Sus scrofa: one gene and its partners. The protein of the gene in region 3 purifies or fractionates together with the protein of the main gene of each other region. This does not show direct contact. Links are inferred from orthologs where the notes say so. Each region holds a gene or a part of one and is shown on either strand. Other genes may lie near its edges.

Evidence for each region. The genes of interacting proteins can lie anywhere in the genome.
Region 1: the proteins of ETAA1 (region 3) and ATR purify together in Homo sapiens (affinity purification with western blotting; 3 studies listed by BioGRID, with this or other methods). This does not show direct contact. The link is inferred for Sus scrofa from reciprocal best matches to the Homo sapiens genes ETAA1 and ATR.
Region 2: the proteins of ETAA1 (region 3) and RPA2 purify together in Homo sapiens (affinity purification with western blotting; 4 studies listed by BioGRID, with this or other methods). This does not show direct contact. The link is inferred for Sus scrofa from reciprocal best matches to the Homo sapiens genes ETAA1 and RPA2.

The regions. Positions count from the first base shown.
Region 1 is NC_010455.5:83,287,048-83,291,614, reverse strand, and holds the start of ATR (serine/threonine-protein kinase ATR), read left to right. Parts: upstream 1-1,628; 5' UTR 1,629-1,783; coding exon 1,784-1,842; intron 1,843-4,567. UniProt on the Homo sapiens protein: Serine/threonine protein kinase which activates checkpoint signaling upon genotoxic stresses such as ionizing radiation (IR), ultraviolet light (UV), or DNA replication stalling, thereby acting as a DNA damage sensor.
Region 2 is NC_010448.4:85,042,961-85,047,563, reverse strand, and holds the start of RPA2 (replication protein A 32 kDa subunit), read left to right. Parts: upstream 1-1,664; 5' UTR 1,665-1,771; coding exon 1,772-1,781; intron 1,782-2,025; coding exon 2,026-2,132; intron 2,133-3,979; coding exon 3,980-4,081; intron 4,082-4,210; coding exon 4,211-4,324; intron 4,325-4,603. UniProt on the Homo sapiens protein: As part of the heterotrimeric replication protein A complex (RPA/RP-A), binds and stabilizes single-stranded DNA intermediates that form during DNA replication or upon DNA stress.
Region 3 is NC_010445.4:74,733,845-74,738,512, reverse strand, and holds the start of ETAA1 (ewing's tumor-associated antigen 1), read left to right. Parts: upstream 1-1,729; 5' UTR 1,730-1,869; coding exon 1,870-2,170; intron 2,171-3,232; exon of another isoform or gene 3,233-3,238; coding exon 3,239-3,367; intron 3,368-3,639; coding exon 3,640-3,716; exon of another isoform or gene 3,717-4,668. UniProt on the Homo sapiens protein: Replication stress response protein that accumulates at DNA damage sites and promotes replication fork progression and integrity.

The sequences.
Region 1 (4,567 bases), on a different chromosome or scaffold from region 3:
ACTATATCCCAAGCACTCTTTTAGGTCCCAGGTATCTAAGCAAAATCCCGCTCTCAAGGAGCTTATATTCTAATTGGAAGAGACAGTCAAAAAAATAGTATTTAATATATAACTTGATTCTATGTGCTATGAAGGAAAATAAAGCAAGGATGGAGGGGGAGAGAGTATGAGTGCAAGTGTGCTAGTCCATATGAGGCTTTCTGGTGACATTTCAGCAAACATCTGAAGAGAAGTGATGAAAGAAGGGTATTTAAGAGGGATATTTAAGGTCAAGGCAGAGGGTTTAGCAAACGCGAAATCCCTGAGACAGGAGCCTATTTGGCTGTCACTCCGCTTCTTTTTTTTTTTTTTTTTGTCTTTTTAGGGCCACATCCAGGGCATATGGAGGTTCCCAGCCTAGGGGTCAAGTCAGACCTCCATATGCTGCTGGCCTCCACCACAGCTAGGTCAGATCCAAGAGGCGTATGCCATCTACACCTCAGCTTGCGCCAACACGGGATTCTTAACCCACTGAGTGAAGCCAGGGATTCTTAACCCACTGGGTGCTCATGGACACTAGCAGGGTTTGCTACCCCTGAGCCACAACAGAAACTCCCTCCTTTTTTTTTTTTTTTCTTAAGATACTGTGTAACAATTATTCTCCTGTGTTAGGGAACAAAGGTAAATACACTGCCTGGCCTTGCCTGATTAAACATAACTTTGACATGTTAACAGCCTCTTATGATGACCATTTTTCGTATAAAAAAAACTAGGTTGAGCTACAAAATGTCTACAGCCAAAATCCACTGATTTACTTAAAAATTAAATCACAGGTAATAGACGCCAAAGGTAAAGGTGACATAAATACACACAATACTGTCGCTCACTTGATGAGCCACAAATAAACACAATTTAACCCTCTTCTTAAATATTAAAGGTTGATAAGTTCCCGCTGTGGCACAATGGGTTGAGAATCCGAATGCAGTAGCTCCGGTCACTATGGAGGCGAGAGTTCAGTCACCAGCCTGCCACAGAGGGTTAAAGGATCCAACGATGCTGCAGCTGCGTTCGGATCTGACCCCTGGTTAGGGGACTTCCGTCTGTCGCGGTTGCGGCCATACCAAAAAAAAAAAAAAAAAAAAAAAAAGAAAAGAAAGGAAAAAACTTGAGAGTATCCTCAAGGAAACCTAATGCAGACTTCAATTTGAGGGGAAAAAATATCCGCTGGGACAAGGAGGAGCCCACCTTTTGCGCCATACCTCTCAGACACCCGTCAAGAGAACAGTAAGAAAATGAAGAACCTGGGGGCGTCTTTGGGGAGACCTGGATCTGATCTTGGGGCTCTAGATGCTGAATTGTCTCATTTTTCACATTTGTCATGAGAGGGATTCTGGGCTAGTGCCCGCCACGCCCCTTTCCTCCCAGGACCCGGGGTCTGGGTTCTCTGAGCCTCCCAAGCTTGGGAGTGACAGAGCAGAGCAACTAAAAACCAAAACTCTCACGATTTTTGCCTGGCCACTTACCAAGCTGCCTATCTCAGAGCGAACCCAACTGGGGAAACTTGACCCTCCGCCGCGCCGCGTCCCTTGCCCCGCCCACTCTCCCCACCCACTTCGGCCTCCCGGCCTCCCCCGGGTCCTACGCAGAAAAGAACTAGGACCTGGCGAGCGGGCCCGCACGGCTTCCGGGAGGAGTTTTGGGCCCCGCGAGGCACCGTCGGGCGCCGCGCTTTCTCATCGGAGGTGGCTGTGGAGACGCCAGGAGCCCGCCTGGGTGTAGTTGACCGGTGGTGCACGTCCTCAGCATGGGCGAGCATGGTCTGGAGTTGGCGTCTATGATCCCGGCCCTGCGGGAGCTGGGCAGGTAGGGCCAGGCCGGCATCTCACGTGCTCTCCCTCCCCAGCCGCGCGCGTCCTAGTTCCGATCCCCTCAACCCGGGCCCTTGTGGAGACACTCCGTGGCTGATTAGAGCGCTTCTCCTACAGAGAGGCGGTTAAAAGGACTGGGGGCTTCGCCGCAGACCCGCCAGATGCGGGTCCGAGGGGAGGGCCGTCTGCAGGTCCCACTTTACCTCAGCGGCGCCCTGAAGCTCCTCCCCCACCAGCACCCCCAGGGGATTGCCTCTGCGGCGGGAAAGAAGGGTCCCGCCGGATGGTAACTTTCTGATCACTTCCCTACACTCACTGCTTTGCTTCTCAAAAGCCTCTTTCCTTGATGGAGTACTTGACCTGTGGATTTGTCTCAGTTTCTGTTGTCTTCTATGTTTTGACCCCAAACTGCCCTCGGATGAAAAGTCATTTGTTCAGATTTTATGCAAGGAAGGCCAGTTGCTCGAAAAAGCAGTTTGTGTCTTTCTTAGAAGTGAAACCATAGGCCATTCTGGAGATGGGACCCTTTTCATGTTGATCATCCAGTCCCCAATTCGTTAGTTCAATCAGAAATCCCAGGAATCGACCACAACGTCTGCAAAATATAAATGTGCAAGAATGAAGCCAAAATTTGAAGATAATTTAATGTTCCATTTGCATAGCTTTTTTTTTTTTTTTCCCCTGTAAACCTGAGAATAGAATCATGTAAACCAGTTTCCTGCCGCAACAGAAGGGAGAGATGTTGATGTCTGCTGTCCTTCAACACACCTACAACCTTTCCTCAACCAGGCCTAGGCAGGGTGTTTGTTCAATTTTTTTTTTTTTTTTTTTGGTAACCTACTGTGAATAGAAAAGTGGGCTTGTACCACTACTGCATTTGAACTGTCAATTGGAATAGTTGCTTTCCAATTTCTTAAATTGTTTGAAAACTTAGCACACAGCCACAACTGATTTTAAGCCCATGGGATATTTAATTTCCTTTCTTTGTGCAGTGCAGTTGTGTCCCTCTCCACTTGTTAGCCATACCAAGACACTGACATTTAGTCTTCCTCAGTTACATACATAAGAGGTTATAAATAACAGCACCATGCTTGTCTTAACTGAATCATCCTCTTTTTGTGTGTATGATTTTTTCCCCCTTGGCATGAGTGTTGCAATCATACTTGGGTAAACATTTTGTAAAGTAACATTTACCTTTCTTAAGAAGATGAAGGCAGGTGTTCACACAGGAAGTTGATGTACCTATTTCATCTTTCAGGCTCCATGTAAAGCTCAGGGTGTTTCCCCCTTCCCCCTGCTTTAATATAGAATTTGCTGATTAATACTTCTCTTCCCTTTTCTCTCTTCCAGTATGATACTTGTTGATAAAAATAATACTATCTTGGATTTATTTATAGTCTCTTTCATCAACAGAGCTTATGTTACCTTTGATTCATTTGTAGCCATTTTAAGAGAAGGAATAATAAAAAAAAAAACTTAGGAGTTCCTGTCCTGGTGCAGAAGAAATGAATCCGACTAGGAACCATGAGGTTCAATCCCTGGCCTCGCCTAATGGGTTAAGGATCCGGCATTGCCGTGAGCTGTGGTGAAGGTCGCAGATGCAGCTCAGATCTGGCGTTGCTGTGGCTGTGGTGTAGGCTGGCAGCTACAGCTCTGATTAGACCCCTAGGCTGGGAACCTCCATATGCTGTGGGTGTGGCCCTAAAAAAGACAAAAAAGACAAAAACAAAAACAAAAGCAAAAACACTTACCCATGGAGAATTACCTAATAGTAGTTTTTAATTGTCATGACTTTTTCATTGCAGCTTATTCATTCACATAGTATCTCCATGATATAGAATGGACCAAATATTATCACTGTTTATTAAGAAACAGAGTCACAAAGTCAAAAGGATAGCAATTATTAGAGCTAGATTTCAAATTCAAGCCATCAAGTCTTTTTCTCCTTAATTTTTTTTTCTTTTTCTTAAGTGACCGTGGCAATTAGATTTCTGAAAAAAGTAAGATGTTACTGTTTAAATGTATGGCCTCCTTTTCCTCTGTCTCTCAGGGATAAGTTTTGTTCCAATGTTTTCTGCTGTTAGCACTCCCTTTTTTTTTTTTTTTTTTTTTTTTTCATGATTGCACTGTGGGACATGGAAGTTCCCAGGCCTGCACCACAGCTGCAGCAACACTGGATCTAAGCGGCATCTGTAACTTATGTTGCAGCTTGCAGTTACACCAGATCCTTAACCCACTGCATGAGGCCAGGGATTGAACCTGCATTCTCATAGACAATATGTTGTGTTCTTAACCTGCTGGGCCACAACGGGAACTCCTATTAGCACTCTTTTCTCTATAGTCTTTCTGTTTGATCTCATCTATTTTCCTGCTGTCAACTACCATCTGCTATTTGATGACTCTAAATGCATGTCTCCCATATCTATTTCCTACAAAACTATATCCAACCACATACTGCAGTTGTTCTGATAACCCCATTAGTTGTTCCCTGGGTGTCCTACATGCATTTAAGACTCAATATATCCAATACAAATTCTCTGTATGTTCTAACCTCCCAAAGTTTTGTTTTGTTTAAATACCTCTCGTTCACTGAAGTAGGGAGATATCTCAGTAAATGATACCATGTTCACTCGTTTTTCTAAACTAGAAATCTAGGAGTCATTCTTGGCTCCATATGTGCTTTCAGGCTACATCGATTGTCCTCTTTCCTTATTTATTTA
Region 2 (4,603 bases), on a different chromosome or scaffold from region 3:
CTTCCTGGGTTTATGAAGACTCCCCCAACTTAGCCTCAGTTTCCTCATCTGTAAAAACAGGGACAACAGCAGTACTTACCTACCTCATAGGATTGTGTTAGAAAATGTAAAATGTTTAAGACAATACCTGCATGGAGTTCCCTTCATGGCACAGCAGAAAGGGAATCCAACTAGGAACTATGAGGTTTCGGTTCGATCCCTGGCCTCACTCAGTGCGTTAAGGATCTGGCGTTGCCATGAGCTGTGGTGTAGGTCATGGACATGGCTCGATCTGGCATTGCCGTGGCTGTGGTGTGTAGGCCAGCAGCCACAGCTCCGATTGGACCTTTAGCCTGGGAACATCCATATGCCACAGGTGCGGCCCTAAAAAGACAAAAGACAAAAAAAAAAAAAAAAAAGACAGAGAGAGAGAGAAGAAAGTGTCTGCAGTTTTAGCAAAAGGAAATGCAATGGCCCAGAAACCCAGGGACCATGTCTTCGTTATTTGCCACTGAATCCCAGTGGCCAGCACAAAGCTTGGAACAAGAGATATCAATAAATATTTTTAAATTATAAATGAGGATCTGTTCCTAACAGTGTAGTAGTATTTAGAGCAAAGAACTGACAGACATGTTCCACTCTCCATAGGAGGGACACGGAGTTCCCGTCCTGGAGCAGCAGAAATAAATCCGACTAGGAGCCATGAGGTTGTGGGTTCGATCCCTGGCCTTGCTCAGTGGGTTAAGGATCAGGCGTTGCTGTGAGCTGTGGTGTAGGCTGCAGACGCTCTGATTAGACCCCCTAGCCTGGGAACCTCCACATGCCGCGGGTGCGGCCCTAAAAGGACAAAAGACCACAAAAAAGAAAAGAAAAACGTAAGAGGGACACAACCGTATTACATGAAGAATAGTTGAAGCAACCGAGGATACGGATCCGGACTAGACTGGGGTGGGGACAGAAAGGTTGGGGGGATGTCATCCTCAGATCTTTTGCCATTCTGGGAAAAAGACTGTAGGCTTCTCACAGCTTCTCTGCGGAGAATCAGGACGACGGGATGGCAATACCAGAACTGAACCTGGCTCTTTATGGAAAAGAATACGCAACCCCACGAGGTGCAATGAAATTACTACATTGAGCTCCCCGTATGTGTATATATTGTGCTAATGGCAAGTCCTACTACTATAACGCTTTAGGAGGCATCACTCGATTGGTAAGGTTTTGGACGAAACAAGACACGGAACAAAGGAAGTGATGTAAAGTGTCAGTCAGTTGCCGGGGGTGGGATTAAACGGCCTGAGATGTGGAAGTATCATCCAGATTGGTTCTCATCTTTTACTTTTTGGGCAACCGCCCACAGCATCTCGGGTGAGGGATCCGACTCAAGCCATCTCCGGATCCTTAACCTGCTGGGCCACAAGTGAACTCCTTGATTGGTTATTTTCTTGAGACACTGGCCTATCTTTGCATCTCTCAGGTCTCCCTTCCGCAGCCGCAGCCTATTTTGCCCTAAGTAACGATGGCTGCAGAGGCTTCGGATCTTCCCGGAGCGAAGTGCGCATTCTCCGGAGCTCGGCGCGGGAAGGCGGGAAAAGGCGTGGGATTCTTAAGCATTGATTGGCTGAGGGGAGAAACGCTCTGGACTCTGATTGGCTCCGTCCTTCGCGGGAAGGAGTTTGTGGCTCCAGCGAAAAGTAGATACAGCGCAGCTGCAACAGCGGAGTCCTGAGGGGGTTCGGCTAACCCACCGGACCGGAGCCTTCTGGAGCTCTACACTGAGGGAATAGTGACCAAGATGTGGAATAGTAATGATGAGTGGGGCGCCTGATGAGAATCGCAAGAAGGATTTAGCAAGGGAGGGCCCGGGGAGGCGTGTGGCGGCAGGGGGCGGGCGAGGGCCGGTGATGGGGGCGTGCGGGTCGTAGGGAAGATGGTGGGAAGGTTAGGGAGACTCTGGGAGTGGTTGGGGTGAAGTCTGGGGGGACTTGCGGATTTTTCAGAGGCTTGGAGGGTGGCACAAGTATTAATACTGCTGTTGTTTAAAACCAGGTGGATTTGAAAGCTATAGCAGCTCCTCCTTTGGGGGAGCCGGCGGCTACACACAGTCCCCTGGGGGCTTTGGATCACCGACACCTTCCCAGGCTGAAAAGAAATCTGTAGGTTGCAAGCGCATTTCTTTTTATTTTAACCTCTGCTGAAGCTCCTAACGCATCTGTGAGAAAATTTAGGCGGGGAAGGAAGGGTGGTAAACTGGACGTGCTTGTAAGTTTGAAAAATCAAACGTCTCCTAATTTTGCATACATTGTTTCCTTGGCTTTATTTTGAAAGTTACCAATATAACTAATGAATTAGTCTTGTGGGAAAAACCGAACTTGTATGTGTAGCCTATTTTACATTCTTCACATACTGGAAGTCATTTTTAAATGAAATGTAATGAGGTCATCTGATAAGGTGGAAAGAGCCTGGTCTTTGGAGTCTAGTAGATCTATGTTCCACTATTGCTCTGACACTGCTTGCAGGGTATCATTGGACAATTACAAAACTGGGAATCAGTTTTGCACCCACTAAATGGGATTAATGATACATATCTTACAAGGTTGTTGTGAGATTAATAACATTACATATAGTTATGCCTGCCCCAGAGTTGCTTTCAATAAATGGCCCCAGGGGTAGTTCCCATTCTGGCGCTGCAGAAATGAATCCGACTAGGATCCATGAGGATGCAGGTTCGATCCCTGGCCTCGCTCAGTGGGTTAAGGATCTGATGTTGCTGTGAGCTGTGGTGTAGGCCATCGGCTATAGCTCCGACTTGACCCCTAGCCTGGGAACCTCCATATGCCGTGGGTACGGCCCTAAAAAGCAGAGCAAAAAAAAAAACAGAAAGGAAAAAAAGAAATGTGATCAAGAGCACACTGCTCCTGAGTGGTCGAGCCATAATCTCAGCCCACCAGCTGGCTGCCACCTTTTGTGACATGTGTGCTGGTAGTTGACTGGGCTTACTTTCTACCATCCTGGCAATATTCACCGTTCAAAAGTATGCTTCAGCAGTTAGCCCACTGAGCAAGGCCAGAGATTGAACCTGCGTCCTCATGGATGCTAGTCAGATTCATTAACCACTGAGCCATAACGGGAACTCCTGTAATGCACATTCTTCACTCACTATTTTTTCACTGTCAAAATTTTCGTGCTTCAGGGTCCAGCCTAAATGCTCCCTCTTCTTGAAATTGCCAATAAATTTTTCCAAGATCCCACATTCTATAGTGTTTCAAGATCAGGCTTGTTATTTACATTTGTAGCATGTGTTGAGGGCAAATCCTGTTCCATTTTACTCATCTTTATTTCCCCCAAACAAACCCTGGCCAGTGGGAGACAAACATAAGAGTATACATGGTTAGGCTGCTTCTGGGTGTGATTTAGGTGTCCTCTTCTGCCCGTCACATCCTGTCCCTTTCCTTTAAGATGTCCCGTGTGGCCAGGCCCTTATCCCATTTTCCTCATACTCACATGGGATTGTCAGAACATCTACCTAAAGCTATATACCTCCAACTTTTTGTTATACTTTAACTTAGAAGAGCTTCAGAGTTCTGTCTTTGCTGGCCATTTCCCAAATTCCTTCCAAATACTATCTCTTCTCATCAGTGATGAAAAGCCAGCTCAAGCTTGCCTTCATCCTAAAGCTGGAGTTGCCTTTTCAAAGTCTCTTCCAGAAGCAGGTCATGTTCCTTTGCTGTCCACACTCTGGCTGACTCATTTTGGTGATCCCTAGTATAGCACAAACTTATCCAGTCATCAGGAGCTTTGGAGTCAGACAGACGTGGTTTTGAAATTTAGAATATGGCGTTGGTTAACTATATAACCTTGGTTTTCTTCTCTGTGAAGTAGGGACAATGAGGTTTCTTTTGAAGATTAGTGTTACAATATCCGTAAAGTGCTGGGCATATAGGAGGTGTTAAGGGACAGTAGTTATTATTTTCTTAATTGAATTTATGCATACTTTTTTCAGAGAGCCCGAGCTCAGCACATTGTACCCTGTACCATATCTCAGCTGCTTTCTGCTACTCTGGTTGATGAAGTGTTCAAAATTGGGAATGTTGAGATTTCACAGGTATGTAAAATAATTTGTGGAAGAGTCACTCAATCATATGAAGAATGAAATAAAACTTACTTCATTTAAAAATAGATTCATGTTGCTTTGGTTTCTAAGAAAACCAAACTTATTTTTCTTCTTGTCTAGGTGACTATTGTGGGGATAATCAGACATGCAGAGAAGGCTGCAACCAACATTGTTTACAAAATAGATGACATGACAGCTGCACCCATGGATGTCCGCCAGTGGGTTGACACAGATGTAAGCAGTTGTGTTTGAATCAGGGTGGGGTTACTTTGGGACTTTGGAGATGTTGAACTTTTTTAGTATCACTTTTTTTTTTTTTTGCTTTTCAGGGCCATACCCACAGCATATGGAGGTTCCCAGGCTAGGGGTCCAACCAGAGGTACAGCTGCCAGCCACAGCCACAGCAACACAGGATCTGAGCTGCATCTGCAACCTACACCACAGCTCACAGCAACGCCAGATCCTTAACCCACTGAGCAAGGCCAGGGATCGAACCTGCAACCTCCTGGTTCC
Region 3 (4,668 bases):
AGAGGAATATCATGTTGTGGTTTTCATTTTCATTGTCCTCCTTACAAACCAGGTTGACCACCTTTATATAAGTTTGTTAATCATTTTTACTTCCTTTTGGAGAGCTAAAGTAACTGACCCGTTTGTTAAAAGTGATCAATCATTTTCTTAGCAAATTACATCAGTTCTTCATATATTTATATATAGGCCCTTAATTTTGCATATTGCAAATATCTTCTCCCAATCTGTGCCTTGCCTTTCATTCTCTTTAATGTTGTCTTTGGATAGACAGAATTTCTCAAGTTATCAATTAATGTAGCCAAGTTCGTAATTATTTTCTTTATAGTTGGTGACTTTTTTGTTCCATTTAAAACTCATTCTCTGTAATAAAACAATTGATATCACCTTATAAAATGTTATTTTATCTTTTACAATTCAATATACAATCAATTTGCACTCAATTTAAGGATATGTTTTCAGGCAGAGATTAAACTTCTTTTTCCACGTGTATATCAAATTGACTAAGCACAATTTATTATCAAAAAGTCCTTTGCCCACTGCTCATGGAGCTCCCGTTGTGGCACAGTGGTTAACGAATCTGACTAGGAACCATGAGGTTGAAGGTTTGATCACTGGCCTTTCTCAGTGGGTTGGGAATCCTGCGTTGCCGTGAGCTGTGGTGTAGGTTGCAGACGCAGCGCGGATTCCGCGTTGCTGTGGCTCTGGCGTAGGCCGGCAGCTCTGATTGGACCCCCAGCCTGAGAACCTCCATATGCCACAGGAGCGACCCTAGAAAAGGCAAAAAGACAAAAAAAAAAAAAAAAGTCCTTTGCCCACTGTTCAGAAAGGTCATCTTTGTCCTAAATCAACTGTACATTTATGTCGTTGTCTGTTTCTAAGCTATTTATTCTGCTTCTTTTACCTATCCTTTCACCATTACCACACTGTCTTAACCATCTGGTAGAAACCCATCTTCAGTGCTCTTCAGGAGATCTTTAAGAGTTTCTTGGTCATTTTCAGCCCTTCCCATTTCCATGTCCATTTTAAAATAACACACACACACATCTCTACTATGACTTTGGATTTGCTTTGAATCTATAGATCATTTTGTGAAGAACTGACATCCTAACAATATTGAAACCTGCAACCTATGAACACAGTATAATTCTCCATTTATTTAGGTTTTCAATTCCTTTGAAAATATTTCATAATTCTCTCTGCATGGATATTGCAATCTAGTTAAATTTATTCATAGTTAATTGATCTCTTGTATGCTATTACAAATCATTTCTTCAAAACGTCAGTGTTATATTTGCTACTAATCTATTGAAATACAATTGATCTTTGAATATGACTTTGTATCAGCAACTCTGTTTATTAATTTAATAACTTCCATTTTTGATTTTTCTATGCACATATCATCTGCCAGTTTTATGCCTTCCTTCCTAAACTATACCTTTCATTTCCTCTTCTTGAAAAAACTACAACTCACAATAACATAAATCCGAGTAATGTGTAATTCCAACTGTAAATTCAATAAAAAGATACCAGTGGATTCAAACTTCTTTCCACCTCACATGCTCCCCCTCTCAGCCCCACAGAGCCAAAGCACTACCTCTTAACAACTACTTCCTACCCAGACCGGTCGGGGCAGAGCAGAGCCGGCTCGGAGGTGGGCTGCGGAAGCGCGCCTTCTGCATCGCGCCTTCGGCACCCTGGACGCCCCGCCCCTCGCCGGACGCAGCCAATCAGCGCCCGCCCCTTGCGAGCGTCTCAACAGCCAAAATGGCGGCGGCCATTGGCGCAGAGTCCCGCTTGTAGTTCCATTGCCTTACTCCTCCCATTGTAAAATGTGAAAGGAGACGCGGCTAGCAGAGGGGGTCCTAGGCAATGAGTCGGCGAAGAAAACATGGGGACAGTCCTGGCCTGAAGAACACGCCGCGCAAAGCGACGGCAACTGAGGAATGCAGCTCGGTGGTCGAGCCGGGGAAGAGGCGGCTGAGGTCGGCCCACGGCTCGGGGCCCCGCGGGGCTAGAGAGAGGCCTACCCGGCCTCTGCCGCAGCAAGAGCAACCTCCAGCAGCCGCTTCGTGCAGTAAAAGTAACCCCGAGGGTGAGACGTGGGCAGCGCGGCCTCTCAGTGCCTCTGCGACTCAGCTTCACAACCCCGTTCCTAACAGGGAAACGCCGGGTAGGGGTGGGGGTGGAGTCTGACCTCGTGTTTTCTTTCTCTGGGTTTCTCCCGCGTGAGTCCCAAATTAACCCAACACCACTCCCCCACGGCTTTGGTCCCCCAGTTTGAGCACTGCCTGGTTAGGTTGTACAGCCCACGTGTTGCCCCTGCCACAGGAATAGATCGTGGGGGTTTACCTGTTGGAGGGAGGAAGGCTAATTGCTAGGCTGCTCCTTCAGGCATCAGCAGTGGCTGAGAGAGGGGAAATAATACCTGTTGCCTTCAGCGTATTCCTAGAGAAATTATTTCCCTCTAAACATTTTGCCCTGACTTGATTTACAGAAGGGGCCTTAGGAAAGCTATAGCTGTCTGTATCCTCAAAGCCTTGGTGATGTATCACATCGTTAGGAATAAACCGGAAGTTCCTTTGTATAAGGTCCCTCAAAGTAGGAAACTAAGGGCCCCTGAATATTTCATTGTGAACCATTTTTGGTGTTACATTTTTTAAAGATTTCTAATCCTGGGAAGAACTGAAACTCATATAAAAGCTCTTTTCTAGAGCGTGGTCTTAAAGCACAGCCTCTGTTACCTTTTTGTTTTTAGTTTACTTTGACAAAGTAATTGCAGAGTAAACAAAAAAAAGTGATACTAGACAAAACTTCCCAAGAAATGGATCACCAAAGCTTTTTGACATAATCAGTGTAAGTTAGATAGAGTTGGTGAAAGGAGGCTACACATATACTTTCACTAAAGTGTCTGTTGGAATGCTTTTGATTTTTGAGTTGTATCTGTAAGTTGCAGGTAGTTCCCCTAGCCTCCAAGTTCCAGTGGTAATACAGGTTATCCAGTATTGTCCATGTATAGAGCTACTAGATTATCTTAAAATATTTGCTATTTACAGTTAAATTTGTGAATTACAGGGATTTTTATGTGAAACAAATAATATCAATTGTGGTTAGGGTAATATTTCTGGGAGAAAATTTTAAATTGGACAATAAGTTATTGAGTGTAAGCTATTATTTAACATTGGGTGTTATGCAGTAAAATAATGCTTTAAAATGCAACAGTTGTTCTGCTCTTCTGTAGAAATGTATGAAACACCTAAGAGAATGCTGCAAGTGGATTTATTGTCATCTACCTTCAGTTCTCCTAATGATCCAGATGGACTGAATGATATCTTTTGGGATCAGAATTCTCCAATGACAAAACAGTTAGGTAATTTGTTATTAACATTTTTTTTCTGGGTGAATATTTGATCAGTGGTTAGGATTTAACTACAGAATTTCAGTCAGGTAATAACATTGGGAACTTTTATATAGCAGATGTTTTATGAGAATCTTGAATGATCATGTTGTTACAATATGCATGTGATGTCAGAGTGAGTAGTGATTTAAGCCATGCTCATTAAAATTATTTTCTAAGAAATGACCTCTATTTTTAAAAATTAGATTTTTAAATAATTTATAGAAATGTCTTTGTTTCTTTAGGTAAAGGAAGAAAAAAACAGATTTACACCACAGATAGTGATGAGATTTCCCATATTGTTAATCGTATTGCTCCTCAGGTAAATAGCAGTGATTTTACAGTTTATTTTAAAATAATGAAAAATGTGCCACTAAGTTTTTTCAATAATTCATTTATGTGAAAAATGTTTGTCTTATTTGACTCTTGTTTCCAAAAACAGAGCAGCAAAGATTACTTTTTTCTACCACTGAAATGCATTTTTGAAAAAAGGAACAAAATGTAATGAAAAATGTGCCACTAAGTTTTTTCAGTAATTCATTTATGTGAAAAATGTTTGTCTTATTTGACTCTTGTTTCCAAAAACAGAGCAGCAAAGATTACTTTTTTCTACCACTGAAATGCATTTTTGAAAAAAGGAACAAAATGTAAAATTGGTAGTATGTATTTTCCTAAGTGTATATCTTACTTGGTTAGAGTGATGATTTTTAACTAGAGCTTTGTTTAGTTTGTTTCTAGTGTTGCTTAACAACATATGGTATCATTTTTCAATTTACTAAAATAATAGAATCAGACAACAAATTTAAACTTCTAAGTTTTTTTTTTTTTTTTTACAGTTGGTATTTTTTTAAACTGTCTATAATACACTGTTTCCCCATTGAAATTGCTTTTCTTAATACTTGTTGACTTACAGCATCATCAAGAGGCAAACATAAAAATGAAAAAAACACTGGATTTGGAGTTGGTTCTCAGCATGCCTCCTATATTGGGTGACTCTAAGCAAGTCACTTAAATCTCTCAGTTTTAGTTCATTCAGCCATAAACTAAAATTATACTTGTCTTGTTCTCTTTCTTGAATTATGAGGATTGAGTTAGATAAAAATTATTTAAAAACTATAGAGCACTACAGATGTTAGGTTATGTTAAAGTTAATTGTGGTATTTAAATTATTTGCCATAATAGAACAATTTTCAAATATTTCTTCTTTATTTTGGCTCTTATAATGCTTGAGTGAAACTGAAATAACAAGTTTAGATCAGCCTCTTTTCTGAACC